Linked DNA regions of Cricetulus griseus. The protein of the gene in region 1 interacts with the protein of each later gene in a pairwise test. Links are inferred from orthologs where the notes say so. Each region holds a gene or a part of one and is shown on either strand. Other genes may lie near its edges.

Region 1 (4,762 bases):
CCCCTTGTAATACTAACAGAGAGTCAGAGGGAGGGGATGAGTAGGAGGGAAGTAGCAATTGAACAGGGAGGCAGCAGTTAATAGGCAAAGATACCCTTGCAGAATTCATGTTTTGGTTTGTTTTGGGGGGTTCCCCAGGGGCATGGACAAACTGAAGACTTCCATTTGGGGGCTGACAGCATCATGACACCTTGAAAGTCAGGCCCCACAGTAGGCACTTTTCTCCACATTATTTTCAGGGGACCACACTAGGCAGAGCTGGGCCTCCTGAGAAGCCCACCAACACCGCATCCCTCTGCGGGGTGGTCAGGGCCATATTATCCTCACCCCCTCATTTCCAAATCCAGGAGTTTCTAAAGGGAAAAGCATCACAGCCCCACAAGTGCATGGGGTTTTAGTCTGTTGGCTTCTGATGTGTCACCAGCCCCTAAAACATATCTGCTCTATAGTATGTGCCCAATAAATATGTCCAGAGAGACAAACCTGGGGAAATGGGACGGTGAGAGAAGCCACAGGCTTTAGTTTCAGATACATGAAAGGCTCCTATTCGGATCAAGGCTGTGAGGGCCTATTATGTAGCAAGCTCTGAATTTGGTGCTGGGGACTCCGTAAAAGAAAAGCAAGTCATGCTAGGACTTCAGGGCTGCGGAGGTAACAATACATTCCTCTCAGTCTGAGCTGCTCTGAAATCTGAAGGTGGCGAGCTCAGCGGGACTGCAGTGCTCACACAGGGCGTAGGCCGCCCACCTGTCAGAGGCTGTGCCAGGAGGACGCAGGGTGTGTAGGGGGAAGAGTTCCACCTTGGCTGAGGTCACTTCCCACCCCCAGATTGTCTGCCTACAAAACCCTGCAATCCTCTGACGCTGTAGCCTCCGATCTCATTATGTTCTGACTCTCAAGGTCTCGTGATACTGACAGCCCCCAAATTTAAGTCTTCAGATCGCCCACGCCCTAGGGCCCCAAATTAAAACAGAAAGTGAAGTCTACAAGGGTCTCCTCTGTAGGTGGCTGAGAGCTGTCGGTGTACCCCTCCCCACCTTCTGCAAGGGGTACAGCTCAGACTCAGGGGTATCGGGGACGTCGCGAGACTGAAGTCCGAGACGTCGCTGACAGCGCCGGGACACGTGACCGGCTGTCGGGCGTGCAGCCGGCGGAGCGGGGCCAGGTCTGTCACGTGATGAGGGGGCGCCATGGGGTGATGTGAGATACGAGGCTCTCAGACTGCGTGCAAATGACGCATCCCCAACCCTTTGGGCAACTAGATTCCAGTCCCAATATGAGATGTTCCGGTAGAAAGGGGGGGGGGGCGGACGGGCTCTCGATCCAGGCGGCCTCGCTTCCGTTCGGCCGCGACTGCTTCCGACCTCCGCCTTTTCCCCCTAGCGAGGAAGAGACAAGACCTCGTGCGCATGCTCCGAGTCATCCTCCCGAGGGGCGGGGCTGCGGCTGCGGGAGCAGGATGGGGGGAAGAGAAGGGAATTCCAACCTGTAGAACTTTGGGGGTCCTATGGTCGGGTTCTCCCCGGCGACTGTGCATGGTGAAAGGGGCGGGACCTCTGGGGGCTCGTGGGGGCGTTGGGGGTTCGCAGGGTGAGGAAGGGGGTGTCAAGTGAGAGAGAGCTCGTGCAGGACTTCCAAACTTAGAACCTTGAGGCCCTCGGGGCTCAGGTCCAGGGACCGGGCGCTCGGGCCGCCATGCGCGACAGGACCCATGAGCTGAGGCAGGTGAGGAGCTGGGGCCCGGCGGGCGCGCAGGACTGAGGACTCCTGGTTTGGGGTCCGGGAGGGGTGGCTGACGGCCAGGAAGGAAAATCCCGGAAGCCCATAGCTCCTGCGGGGCGAGAACCGCGGCGAGCGAGTGGTGCCAATGACTCCGGCCCTGGCAGGGGGACAACAGCTCGGACGACGAAGATGAGGCTCGAGTCGCGCTGGTGGTGCACCCAGGTACCGCCCGGCTGGGCAGCCCAGATGACGAGTTCTTCCAGAAGGTAAGGCCCGGAGGACCGAGCAGTAGGGAGGACTACAGTACCACTTATGTCTTCAGTTCCCTTGGTGATCCTCTCTAGGTCCAGGCAATTCGGCAAACTATGGCCAAACTGGAGAGTAAAGTCCGGGAGTTGGAGAAACAGCAGGTCACCATTCTGGCCACGCCCCTTCCCGAGGAGAGTAAGCGAAACCCGGGTTCACGTACGCCAGCCCGGTGGATTATGGGGGATGTAGTCCTATATAGATGTTGGCCGGGGGTGGGGTTGGTTTTGGTTTGTGGTGGAGGCTGTGGTTTGGAAGTGTTGGCCTTCTCTCATTTAGGCATGAAGCAGGGCCTGCAGAACCTGCGCGAGGAGATCAAACAGCTGGGGAGAGAGGTCCGGGCACAGCTAAAAGGTGAATGAACTTCAAGGGCCTCAGCCAGATCATCCCCAGTGATTCAGCCCTGATGCTCGTGTATCTGGGGAGTCAAGTGATATATCAGGTCACAGAGCAGGTCTGGGTCTAGGATCTCTGCCCTGTGGCATCTAAGCCTTGGTACTTTGCATATATTACATGCTGGCCTCTCAGATTCCTTTATTACTATTTTTACATCTAAATTCAAAACTACTTGCTGCTACAGTTCTTGAAGCCCAGTGTGTGTTCTTTGAGCAGATGGATGAGGGTTTCTTAGGAGGCTCCTTCACTCTTGTGGGAACCCACTGATGTAATACAAAGAAAAACTTCTCTTAGAAGATCAGAATTAGCCTCCTCCTCCCCCTCCCTCACCTCTTCCTCCTATGTAGACCAGGCTGGCCTCAAATTCACAGAGATCCATCTTTCCCTGCCTTTTGAATGCTGAGATTAAAGGCCTGCCGTAACCAGGTCCAGTTGGCTGATCTCACCCCCTTCTTCCTTCTTTCTTCTTCCTCCTAGTTCCTTCTTTTTTCCTCCTCCTCCCCCTTCCTCCTCCATCATGTGTCACTACTAAAATATATCCCTGCTCATAAGTCACTTTGTAAAAAAAAATCCTACGAAGACAAGAACTTCCTTATTATGTGGCTGGAATGTAGATGTGGCCCTGTATTCTGGTACCCAAACAATTTTTTTTGATTCATTTAAAATTTTTTATTATGTATTTTCAATTTTTTAATTATTTTTTGAGACTCAGTAGGTAGATCAGGCTAGCCCAGACAGAAATCAGTTAGCCTCCCAGCCAATTTTTAGAAGTCTCAGGGCAAGCTTTTCTTTCCATCAACCCTCGTATTTCTCCCACAGCCATAGAGCCTCAGAAGGAAGAAGCTGATGAGAATTATAACTCAGTCAACACAAGAATGAAAAAAACCCAGGTTGGTTTCATTTTCCTAGAACTAGGACATTTCATCAAGTGTTTCTTAGATTACTAACTGGTGACTGGGCAACCCTTACAGACCGTTGAATCTGGGATCTCTGTCCTGATGAATTTCCTTTATGCTTATTTGGTCTAGGTAGAGGATCCCAGTCACAAAATTCTCAATCCATTATAACACCATGCCACCGCCATTCAAAGAGAATTTGCTATGTCAGACATGACTCTGTCCTGGCTATGAGAGACATATTTTCCCAAAACTGAAATGGGGAATTTGGACTGAAAAGGGAACAAAGATATTTCTCATGTAGGACTTGGTCACTAATAGCTTTGTTCAGGGAAGAAGAGAGAGAAATAAAAAATGGTAATTAAGAGCACTGGTTGCTCTTCCAGAGGCCCCAGATTTAATTTCCAGCACCCACATGGCAGCTCACAACCATCTGTAACTCCAGTTCCAGGGGATCTAACACTCTCACATAGACATACATGTAGGTAAAACACCAATGCACATAAATCAAAGAATAATAATAAGAGCCAAGTGTGAAGGCAGAGGCAGGCGGATCTCTGAGTTCGAGGCCAGCCTGATCTACAGAGAAACCCTGTCTTGAATAACCAAAAATAAATAAATAAATGATAAATAAATGTAAGTTAAAATGACAAGCAAGGACATCCTTGGCCCCATAGATAGAATTTAAGAGATGGCGAGGGGCTGCAAGACGGATCAGTGGGTAAAGGTGTCTGCTTCTAAGCTTTATAACCCAATTCAGCCCCAGGTCCATGGGGTGCAGAGAACTGACTCCTGGGAGTTGTCCTCTGATTTCTACACATGTGCCATGGCACACATGCCCTGCCCCGTGCATACACAGTAAAGACATATATTAACGTATGATGTAGGGACTGGAGAGATGGCTTAGCACACACCACTTTTGCAGAGGAACTGAATTCAGCTGTTCCCAGCTGTGACCTATGTCAGGTGGCTCACAACCATCTGTAACTCCAGCTCTAGGAAGAGGCCCTCCACCTCCTTGGATACCACAGATGAAGGCACATAATAAAATATATTTTTAAGAACATTTGTAGCCGGGCGTTGGTGGCGCACGCCTTTAATCCCAGCACTCGGGAGGCATAGGCAGGCGGATCTCTGTGAGTTCCAGGCCAGCCTGGTCTCCAGAGTGAGTGCCAGGATAGGCTCCAAAGCTACACAGAGAAACCCTGTCTTGAAAAACAAAAACAAACAAACAAACAAAAAGAACATTTGTAAAAGGAAGAAGAGGAATTCTGGTGGAGAAGAAGTCATGCCAGGCAGTGTCTGAGTGAGGAGATTTCACGTGACTTGACTGGGCCCCTCTGGTGCATGGTGAAGAGTGCTTGGGATTTATGGAGGTCAGGTTTGGAGTAGGTAGGCATCTTGAAAGGGCGCAGGAGTGGGGATTCAGGAGAATAAGCTTA
Region 2 (4,811 bases), on another chromosome or scaffold:
TCAGCCTGTTTTCTCCTACAACCTAGAACTACTGGCTCTGGTGTAGCACTGCCCTCAGTGGGCTGGGCCCTCCTATAGCAATCACCAATCACAGTACCATCCCACAGACTTGCCCCCAGGCTTTTTTTTTTTTTTTCAGAGGCATTTTCTAAATTAAGATTCCCTCTCCCATCAATGTTAAGCTTTGTATCAAGCTGACAGACAAACCAGCCCACCTTCCTAGGACAATCCAAATTTTCACAAATCATGTTCCTGGACCCAGAACATTCTTTTTTTTTATATTATTTTTCTTTTTTCCTTTTTTTATTAGAAAAAAATTATTTTACATGTCAATCCCAGTTCCCTCTCTCTCCCCTCCTCCCCTCCCCCCCCCACTAATGCCCTACCTATCCCATAGCCTTTCTGCTCACCAGGGAGGGTGAGGCCTTCCATAGGGGTCTTCAAAGTCTGTCATATTCTTTGGGATAGGGCCTAGGCCAACCCCCTTGTGTCTAGGATCAGGGAGTATCCCCCCATGTGGGATGGGCTCCTAAAGTTCATTCCTATGGTAGCCATAAGTACTGATCCACTACAAGAGGTCCCAAGGTCTCCTCACTGACACCCACGTTCAGGGGGTCTGGATCAGTCCCATGCTGGTTTCCCAGCTATCAGTCTGGGGACCAAGAGTTTTCCCTTGTTCAGGCCAGTTGTTTCTGTGGGTTTCACCAGCCTGGTATGGACCCCTTTGCTCATCAGTCCTTCTTCTCTGCTTCTGGATCAGTTCAGTCCAAGGTTTAGCTGTGGGAAGAACAGAAGAGAACAAGATAAGAGATAATATAATAGAAGGAGATATTATAAATTCAAAGAGAAATCAGGCACTAGGGAAATGTCTGGAGGGCTACAAAGATGACACCAGCTAACAATCTAAGCAACAGAGGGGAGGCTACCTTAAATGCCCTCTCCTGATAATGAGATTGATGACTAATTCATATGCCAGCATATAGCCTTCATCCAGCAGTTGGTGGAAATAGAAGCAGACCCAGAACATTCTTAAAGATCCCTTAATATGTCTTGACTTTAAAGGCACTTATTCAGGGAGTTCTTTCCTGACACTCAATTAATTCATCAGTACACCTATTAAGTTTTCTTCTCTGTACCAATCACATAGTATATTTCTGTACCAGTTTTTCTAGTGCCTCTTGCTCCGATTACACCTTAAAAGGAGTGCTGTGAACATTCCTGTATAACATGCTTAACATGCTGCTTGACACTTGATAGGCATTCAGTATACGTTTGTTTAATAATACATGACCTCTAGAAGGCTGGGCGGGAGTAGGGGTGGGGCTACTGGGGCCAGCATGTGTCATTTGTCTGTCTTGGAAAGTTTGTGTAGTGGCTGACGGGGAAAGGTCCTTATCCTGTTCATCAGAGAGAGCTTTTCCTCTGTCCCAAGTGGCGCATGAGAGAAACTGCTTCCAGACACGAAGCAGCAGGTGAAGGAGACTAGCCTTATTTCCCAGGGACAGCCTAATTTTGTCCTCAGGAGACTAGGCATTCTCCTGGTGCAGGTGCATAAGAACCTGCCAATCTCCGCTGGAGGGGGCGGAGATAGGGCGGGCCTCGGAAGGGGGCGTGCCATTGGGTGCTTCCCACGGAACCTGATTGGCCCGAGTGAACTCCGCCCTCACCAGCCACGTTGGACACGGGCAACCCCGCTGGGAGGCCCCTCCCGGCCCCACAATGCACTGCGTGGCGCGTCACTCGGAGCGGCGAGTCCCAGCGCGACAGGTACGGCCCGGCCCCTCTTTTCAGCCTCCTCGGGGTCTCCGGGATCCCTGGCCGGCCGCTCGCGCCGCTCTCGGCGTTCCACCCTGGCCTGACCGGTACTTCCCGAGCCGGAGCTGAGCGGCGGTGGCGGCGGAGTTAGAGGGCTGGTGTGCGGGTCCCGGGTCCCTGAGACCCGGGGCTGTCAGCCGCGCGGGCGGCGGTTGCTGTCTGGCAGGCCTGTCCCGGGATGGGCGGACGCAGTCGGGGCGGCTGACGGGGAGTGCTGGCGCCCCGGGCTGCCAGCGAGCGGACTCACTGCCATAGATGTCAGAAGCACACGGATTCACCCGGGCTTGTAGGTGGCCCGAGAGAGCTTGAGGTGGCTGGCATTCCTAGTTCTTTTTTGGGGCGGGGCAGCTTGTACCAGTGGCGTACCCTGCGATTTGTGGAGTCCGAATGGGCGCTGAGGTTGGAGATCGCCCACGTTGGCTCAGGGAAACCCCTCGAGGCCCTGTCTGATGGTACTTTGCGACACTGTGTGGCAGAAAAAAAAAGACCTGAGTTATTGGCTCCACAAGTGGGGGATCTCCGGAGGGGGCCAAGCTGTAGCTTGCGCGAATCTCTCTCAGTAAAAGCAGCTTAGGACTTGATTGCCTGCTGCTTAGCTTCCGGGATCAGCATCACCTGGAGCAGGTAGAACTCTTCAGAACCAGCCCCTGCTGTGCTTAATTTTGAGCAGAGTCCAGTGTCGGTGGGCCGTGCTACACGTGATAGAATTCCAGCGGATGAACAGAGCAAACATTTTAAAAAATGGAATCAATTTCGGGTTACTGGTACCCACTGGTGTGCCAGCGCTGTGAGCAGTTAGGCGGTATCTTAAACATTACTTAGAACTTACCGTGTGTAGAGGAAGATTCAGAACTGAACCTGACACCCGTGACCATGTCCAAAGTGATTGAGACGTCAGGCTTTTCCCACTTAAGACGATCATGCCAGTTTAGTAACTTTATTTTTAGAGACTGCTTAAAGTTTAAGTATGTTTTAGGTTGATGTATGAAAAAAAAAAAACAAACTCGTGTCAGAGAGATACTTGTGACCTTTCTTTCCGTGTCGATAAGAAGTTAGGGTGTGTTTAGAGGTAATGTTTCATGAAGTTGTTAGAATCAGACCTCCTACTTACTCATCCGTGAGTTGAACAAATGCCTTAAGCTTTTGGGACTTGTGTTTCCTCCAAAGCAAAATGAAACTAATACCTAACCTCAGAGGTTCCTGGAAGGCTCAAATGAGGCGAATGAAGTGCTTGGTCTGTACCTGTCAGTAGTAAGGACAGCAGAACACTTAAAATAGAACTTCGGAGGTTGTGCCAGGTGCTTTTCATAAGCGTAAGACGTAGAGGCTGGTAGTGATCTTAAAAAGAGCCTCATGGAGATAGGGTTTACTCATAGCCATAGTTCCGAGGTGAAGATATTGAGGTTTGGAAAGCAAAGCTTGTCAAGGTAATGTGACAGGTATGTGGTAGAGCCTGGCTTTAAATCTGGGAATATGACTTCTTTGTATTTAATTTATTTATTTTGCACATCCTGTGTGTGCATGTGTATGCCTGTATGTATATTCAAATGTGTGTTGGCACAATGTTGTGTGCAGGTGTATATGAAGGTTGGGTGTTGATGTCCAGTGTCTTCTCTGATTGCCCTCTACTTAATTGAGGCAGGATGTTTTTTGTTTGTTTGTTTTGTTGTTGTTGTTGTTGTTGTTTTAACCTGGAGCTTGCCAATTTCAGTCAGTCCAGCTAGCTGACCTGCCTGGAAGATCCCACCTCTTTTGGATAACCTAGCTTGCCTAGTCTTCACTTAGTTCTAAGGATCTGGACACTAGTCCTCATGATTGCATAGTAATCATGTTTTGCCACTGAGGAATCTCCCCAGCCTGAACTTGACTTTTTAATCACCATACTGTGTTGCCTTTCAAAGAAAATGTCCCTATTTATTGTTATTTTAAAATGATCAGCTGATCCAGGTCTTATGATGCAAGCCTGTAATCCTAGCACTTGGGAGGTGGAGACAGGAGGATCAGGAGTTCAAGGCAAGCCTTTGGCTACATAGTGAGTTCAAACCAGGCTGGGGCTTTGTGAAGCTTTGTCTAAATTGAAAAACATTTAAAACATAGGACTTTTTTTTTCTTTCTTTCTTTTTTTTTTTTTTTTTTTTTTTTTTTTTTTTTTTTTTTTTGCTGCTTGCTGCTTTCCTGGTTACAGCACAGCGATGGAGATTTGTGAGGCACTTAGGCTTAAGTATCAGTCCTGCCGTATATTAGAGGTGAAGTTGAGCAAATGTCAGTTTTCTTATCTATGAAATGGAAGTTATACTTACCTCTCTGAACTGTATGGCACTGACATCTGCACATATGTTAGGACCCCTGTCTCTAATAGTGTGTATATTCTGTTGTGGAGCTTGAGGTTTTACACATAGTGTTTAGTGCAGGTGCCCACAATAGAAGCAAGCAGTAAGGACAGCTAATGAGGAAGACAGTACTGGCAAAACATCACAATAAATTCTGATAGTCCTTGGTACTCCTTTCTTTTCATTCAATCTTCCAGTCTGAGCATTGCAATTAATATGGTCAACTAAGTTCAATCAGTCTGACTCCACCCTTTGCACTCACTTATAATTCTCACAGAGTTCAGGATTATTAAGTTAACTAAATATGTAGCAAGTTAGTTTTTCCAAATTTTGGTGCTATCATTAATGTAAAATGATTTGGTGAGCTGAGGATCATTTTAAAAAAGCAAGCCACCAAAATATTTAATATGCATGTAAACAAAACAAAATTTTACTTATTTTAACTTAGATTTAGGGAAAAAAAACCCTAATGTCTCAAACTGATTTTGTAGACATTGTTGTTAAAAATATAGGATAGCCAGTTGAGAGACTGGTATTTGGTAAATAAGAAATAGTACAGGAGAGATCCAGATAAGCATCCTGAAAGTGGTACTTGAGTGCTAAAGCTTGGAATGTGATTAACTCAAATAAAAGATGAGTGACCCCAGCATAAAACATCTGTAGAAA
Region 3 (4,720 bases), on another chromosome or scaffold:
GTGAACAGTTAGGAACTTTGCTCAAACACAGCTGCTGAGAGTAGCAGAGCTGAGGTTTTAAACTCAAGGATCAGGCTCCAAGTATCACTTGCAATCCCTGGGCTCATCTGCCCTTCCACTTACCTGTCATTGTCACATGAGCATTTTAATCTACCTATCTCAGTATGCAGGTATCCAAAGCCAGCAACTCTCCCAGAAGCCCCTCTTCTCTACATCTGCTGTCCAGTGCTCCTTCAGTTCAGTGAAGCTTGGAGTCTTAGACATTCTCTTCTCTCTTCTCTCCTCATCCCTTCTCCCATTATGGCACTATGTTTTGTATTCCATGGGCAACATCTATCTGAGTCACTCCTTTCCCTTCATTCTCTCTTGCTGTCATCTGGTCCACAGCCTCCTCCAGGTGTCTCTGGCTGTACCTCCTCTTTTTTGGGGACCTCAGAGTTTACATACCTACACAAGAGCTAGATATTGTTTACATCCTCCCTTCCCTCCAGCCAGGGTTTCTTTGTGTAGCCTTGGCTGTCCTAGAACTAGCTCTGAGTACGAGGCTGGCCTCGAACTCATAGAGATCCGAGTGGTGGGATTAAAGGTATGTTCTACTACTGCCTGGTTTGTTTACATCTTAAAGATGAGGAGTTGATTGAGGGACTACAGGTTCAAAAGAGATTTGTTTGATGCAAGCGCCAAAGAGACTAGAGACTTTGGGCAAATCACTTAACCTCACAGAATCTCAGAAAGCTCATTCATAAAATACAGATACTAAGTAGCAGTAATTACCTTACTGAAGATAGTGAAGTAACTTAGAACCCTGCCCAACGCACGTAAGTGATTGGTGGTTATCAGCAATGAAAGGTCACACTACTTAACCATGAAAGATCTGTACAGTGCGTCGAATATTCCAGTTTACTAACTGTGCCAGATAAAATGTTTTCTGGATGTTTTGGAATCATAGTCGAGAGGAAGTTACCCTGCCTGGTTACTTTGACCTTCAACTCTCTGCTGCGAAGTTCATTTTCAGAATGTAATTCAAAAGAAAATACTGTCCATTTTGGGGAAAGTGTCCAGGATCTGGGGTTCTGTGATGTCTGGGTCGTGAGACCCTCCCTGTACAACAGAGACTGAAGCCTCTCACAAAAAACAGTAGGATCGTCCCCCAAAGAGTATGGAGTATTGAGCCTGTAGACACTACATGACTTAAGACTTTATCATAATCAGGTTATTTGAGAATCCTATGGTGCAAGTCGTGGATGTGATGGGCACGGAAGTCATATGGCGTTAAAAGCAAGTCTTAAAAGTTGAGGAAAGGTAAGAGGTCTAAGCAGACAGATTCAGCAACTACTAAAATCCCCTGTAGGCTTCTCCCAGCGGAGGCAGAAGACCTCTCCTACCTCCCAGAGCCCGCCTCTCGGGCCCAGGGACGCTAGCCCAAGCCCCGCCCCTCTTAGGCCAGGAGCCTGAGCGATCTGGGTCACGTGAGCGTGAGTGCGGAAGTGGAGCTGCGATACGCATTCTTGATTGGTCGCAGAGAATGTCTTGGGGGCGGGGCCAGGCGCCGGAGGTGCCGGGGGAGGAGGCTGCTGTGGGGGCCGGCTTGGAGTGGGATTCGGCCCACGGCGCTGACCGAGTGCTGGACCGGCGGCCGTCGGGCACCCAGGTCTGCGCGCACCGCTGCTCCGGGTCACTCGGCCGAGGCGCTGGCCGCGGGAGACCTCAGGGAGGGCTCGGGCTGCCGGGCCGGGCGCCATGTCCATGGAGGACCCCTTCTTTGTGGTGAAAGGGTGAGTGTGGGCCGAGGACGCTCGCCGCAGGGGGAAGGGAGGGAAATCGAGGCAGGGCGGCACAGCCTCTGCGCCCCGACACCGCGCGTCCTCCGGGGCTGGGCCCCCGGGGGTCCTCCTTTCGGCCCGCACGGCCACTTCCTCGGGGTCGCGCGCCGCAGGTGGGGAGCGGGGAGCGACGCGCTGGAGAGGGCGGACAGCATCTGGGCAGGAAAAGGGAAATGGCCCTCCTGGAGTGGGCGTGCGCGGGGGCGAGCTCCATTGTGGAGTCGGGAGCTCGCCCGGGACAGCCACCCCGCGGCTTGCCCGGAGGCGTCCAGCCGGTGCGGGAGCCGGGTGCGGGAGGACGCGCGGTTTCCCGGGGGAGGAAAAGTCCTCCAGGCCGGGTACTGATGTTGGTAGGAAAACAAGATGCAAACAGCCAAACCAAACTTCCCGAGGTTTTCTGAGAGCCATCGGGATTTTCCCACCGTGTGGAAGGAAATGATTGTTTCTTTTGAACTCCTTGGTTTCGTCCTGGGTGTTTGACAGGTTTCTCTCACTAAACGTTCTGCCTTTTAGAAGTCATCGGCCCTCTTTTTGCCAGGGAGCTGTCCTGACTCCATCTTTGATGCTCTGTTGGGAGATGGAAACATCAGGGGCACTTCGATGTATCAACTTTGTAGCCATTACACAAAACGCAATTACGATGTCGCAACTTATTTCTAATAACATGTCAGCTTTATGCTTTGAATGTCAGAGAAATGTCAAAAATCTGAGAACTGCAAAGTCAAGACAGGATAAGTTCTACTGACTGTGAAGCATTCCTTGTTTCTCACTAGTTGCTACTTTCATCTTATTTGTGGAGTGGTAAAAGCTGACCAGTTGTGTGGGTGTTTGTTTTTATACTTAAGGGTACTGGGAATATTTAAATGGTATTTTAGAGGAGGTACTTTATTATCTATGGTGTATTCAATCAAATAATTACGACTGTTTCTTAACATTTCAGTTAAAGGGTTTTTCTTTCACTGGCTTTAATTTAGATGGGAGAATAGGAAGGTATAGATTTAACAGTAAAATTTACCTATACAGAAAATAAGTTATTTATTAGGGAATTGATTTAGGATTTTGTTTTTAAATTTAGAGTTGTATACTTTTCCCTTGAATGGAAGGCTTTTTTGTTTTGTTTTTAATTTACACACACTCTCTCTCTCTCTCTCTCTCTCTCTCTCTCTCTCTCTCTCTCTCTGTGTGTGTGTGTGTGTGTGTGTGTGTGTGTGTGTGTGTGTGAATGTGAATGCTGTGGCACACATGTGGAAGCCACAGGGCAAGCTTGCAGGAATCCCTTCTCACCTCCCACTATGTGGGTCTCAGGGACCAAAGTCAAGTCTTCAGGCTTGGTGGCAGGCACCTTAGCCCGCTGAGACATCTCATCAGCCCCAGAACTGAAGTTTTTAACACTCAAGTTGTAAAAGTTATCTCTGGCAGTTAGTTGATGTCAGAGAAAAACCAGAAAATGTTTATTTGTTTGCCTTTGAGTGTGATTTTTGACAACTCTTCATTGTTCAGTCATGTAGATATCCCCCCTCCCCCATAGTCTCCCAGCACTCCCTTATTGACTAGATAGTACTACTTTATTAGAACACTGCCATAGGTCTTTAAGGTGCCTGAAGTAAGAGTAGTTGTCTGTACTTTATCCAAGAGGAAAGTGAAGTCAGCCACATAGGTGTTTCCAGATGTGTGATAGCATGTTCATGCATGTTTATTTGTTAACAGTTTTGAGGGCCAGTGAGATATCTTGGTAATAGGGGCACATGCAGCCAAGCCTGATGACCTGAGTTTGATCCCCACAAATCCTGCTTGTTGTCCTCTGACCTCCACATGCAGGAATTTACACACACACAATGGAAAAGTTTAAAAAATAAGATTATTGAAAATATCACAAATAGAAAAAGTAAAGATGTCTCAACTATGACTTTTTTTTCCCATTGGGCTTTTGGATTTACCAGACAGGGTTTCTCTGTGTAACAGTTCTAGATGTCCTGGAACTTGTTTTGTAAACCAGGCTGGCCTCAGACTCACAGCGATCCTCCTGCTTCTGCCCCCTGAGTGCTGGGACTAAAGGTGAATGCTACCACCACCTGACCAATGTCTTTGTTAATAGATTCAAAATATTACTACTGCCAGAGGTGTTTTTTTTTTTTTTTCTTTCCTTTTTTTTTTTTTTTTTTTTGGAGATAGGGTCTTGTTATGTAGAACTTGCTTGCCTCTTACTTGCAGTGTAGCCCAGGCTAGCCTTAAACTCAGCAGTTACTGCTTAGGCTTCTAAGTGCTGAGATTGTAGGCATGAACTTAGCTTCAACATGCAGTTAAAGATTGTTTGTATTAAGTCTTCAAAATTTGTTATTTTAAACTTCTGTCTCATTTCAATTTGGCTGTTAAAATTTGAACATATGTCCTATATTTAGAATTCTTTAAACTTACAGTTCAAAAGATATATTCAGAGTCTGGGGTGATAGGGAACACTTGTAATCCCAACACTTGTGTCTCTGGAAAGCCAGAGACACAAAAGCTAACCTCATAATGAGTTTAAGATTAGCCTGGGCTATATGAGATACTGTCTGGAAGAAAAAAGAAAAGAAGGAAGAAATTCACATATCCTAATTGCTCCAAACATACATACCACTTTTTTGGCAAGAAGATTTTGTGCCAGTTTTTAAGATAATTAAATGCAAGTTTCTCAATGACACTACTTTTTAAAGACCTTAGTCATACCTGAATAGTCACATGTGAATTTCATATTGGACAGCACACTATAGCCCTTCAAGGCCCAAGCAGGTGTAACCTACTTAATGTCATTTAAAATGCAAAATCAAAACACTCTTCACTTATTCTTACTGCCAACCAAATTCAGCCAAATTCAGAAAAAGCGTCTACTTAGCTCTCTGCAGTTCTCTACAGTTGAC

What was found.
Region 2: the proteins of Stx4 (region 1) and Sec22a interact in binary tests that used the Homo sapiens proteins (3 or more experiments, as listed by UniProt). The two-hybrid records come from large-scale screens. The link is inferred for Cricetulus griseus from reciprocal best matches to the Homo sapiens genes STX4 and SEC22A.
Region 3: the proteins of Stx4 (region 1) and Stx6 interact in binary tests that used the Homo sapiens proteins (3 or more experiments, as listed by UniProt). The two-hybrid records come from large-scale screens. The link is inferred for Cricetulus griseus from reciprocal best matches to the Homo sapiens genes STX4 and STX6.

The regions. Positions count from the first base shown.
Region 1 is NC_048596.1:72,932,273-72,937,034, reverse strand, and holds the start of Stx4 (syntaxin-4), read left to right. Parts: upstream 1-1,564; 5' UTR 1,565-1,695; coding exon 1,696-1,725; intron 1,726-1,886; coding exon 1,887-1,988; intron 1,989-2,044; exon of another isoform or gene 2,045-2,066; coding exon 2,067-2,166; intron 2,167-2,307; coding exon 2,308-2,382; intron 2,383-3,243; coding exon 3,244-3,314; intron 3,315-4,762. UniProt on the Homo sapiens protein: Plasma membrane t-SNARE that mediates docking of transport vesicles. Necessary for the translocation of SLC2A4 from intracellular vesicles to the plasma membrane.
Region 2 is NC_048597.1:54,280,199-54,285,009, forward strand, and holds the start of Sec22a (vesicle-trafficking protein SEC22a), read left to right. Parts: upstream 1-1,652; 5' UTR 1,653-1,767; intron 1,768-1,990; exon of another isoform or gene 1,991-2,125; intron 2,126-4,811. UniProt on the Homo sapiens protein: May be involved in vesicle transport between the ER and the Golgi complex.
Region 3 is NC_048598.1:36,588,550-36,593,269, reverse strand, and holds the start of Stx6 (syntaxin-6), read left to right. Parts: upstream 1-1,618; 5' UTR 1,619-1,740; coding exon 1,741-1,775; intron 1,776-4,720. UniProt on the Homo sapiens protein: SNARE promoting movement of transport vesicles to target membranes. Targets endosomes to the trans-Golgi network, and may therefore function in retrograde trafficking.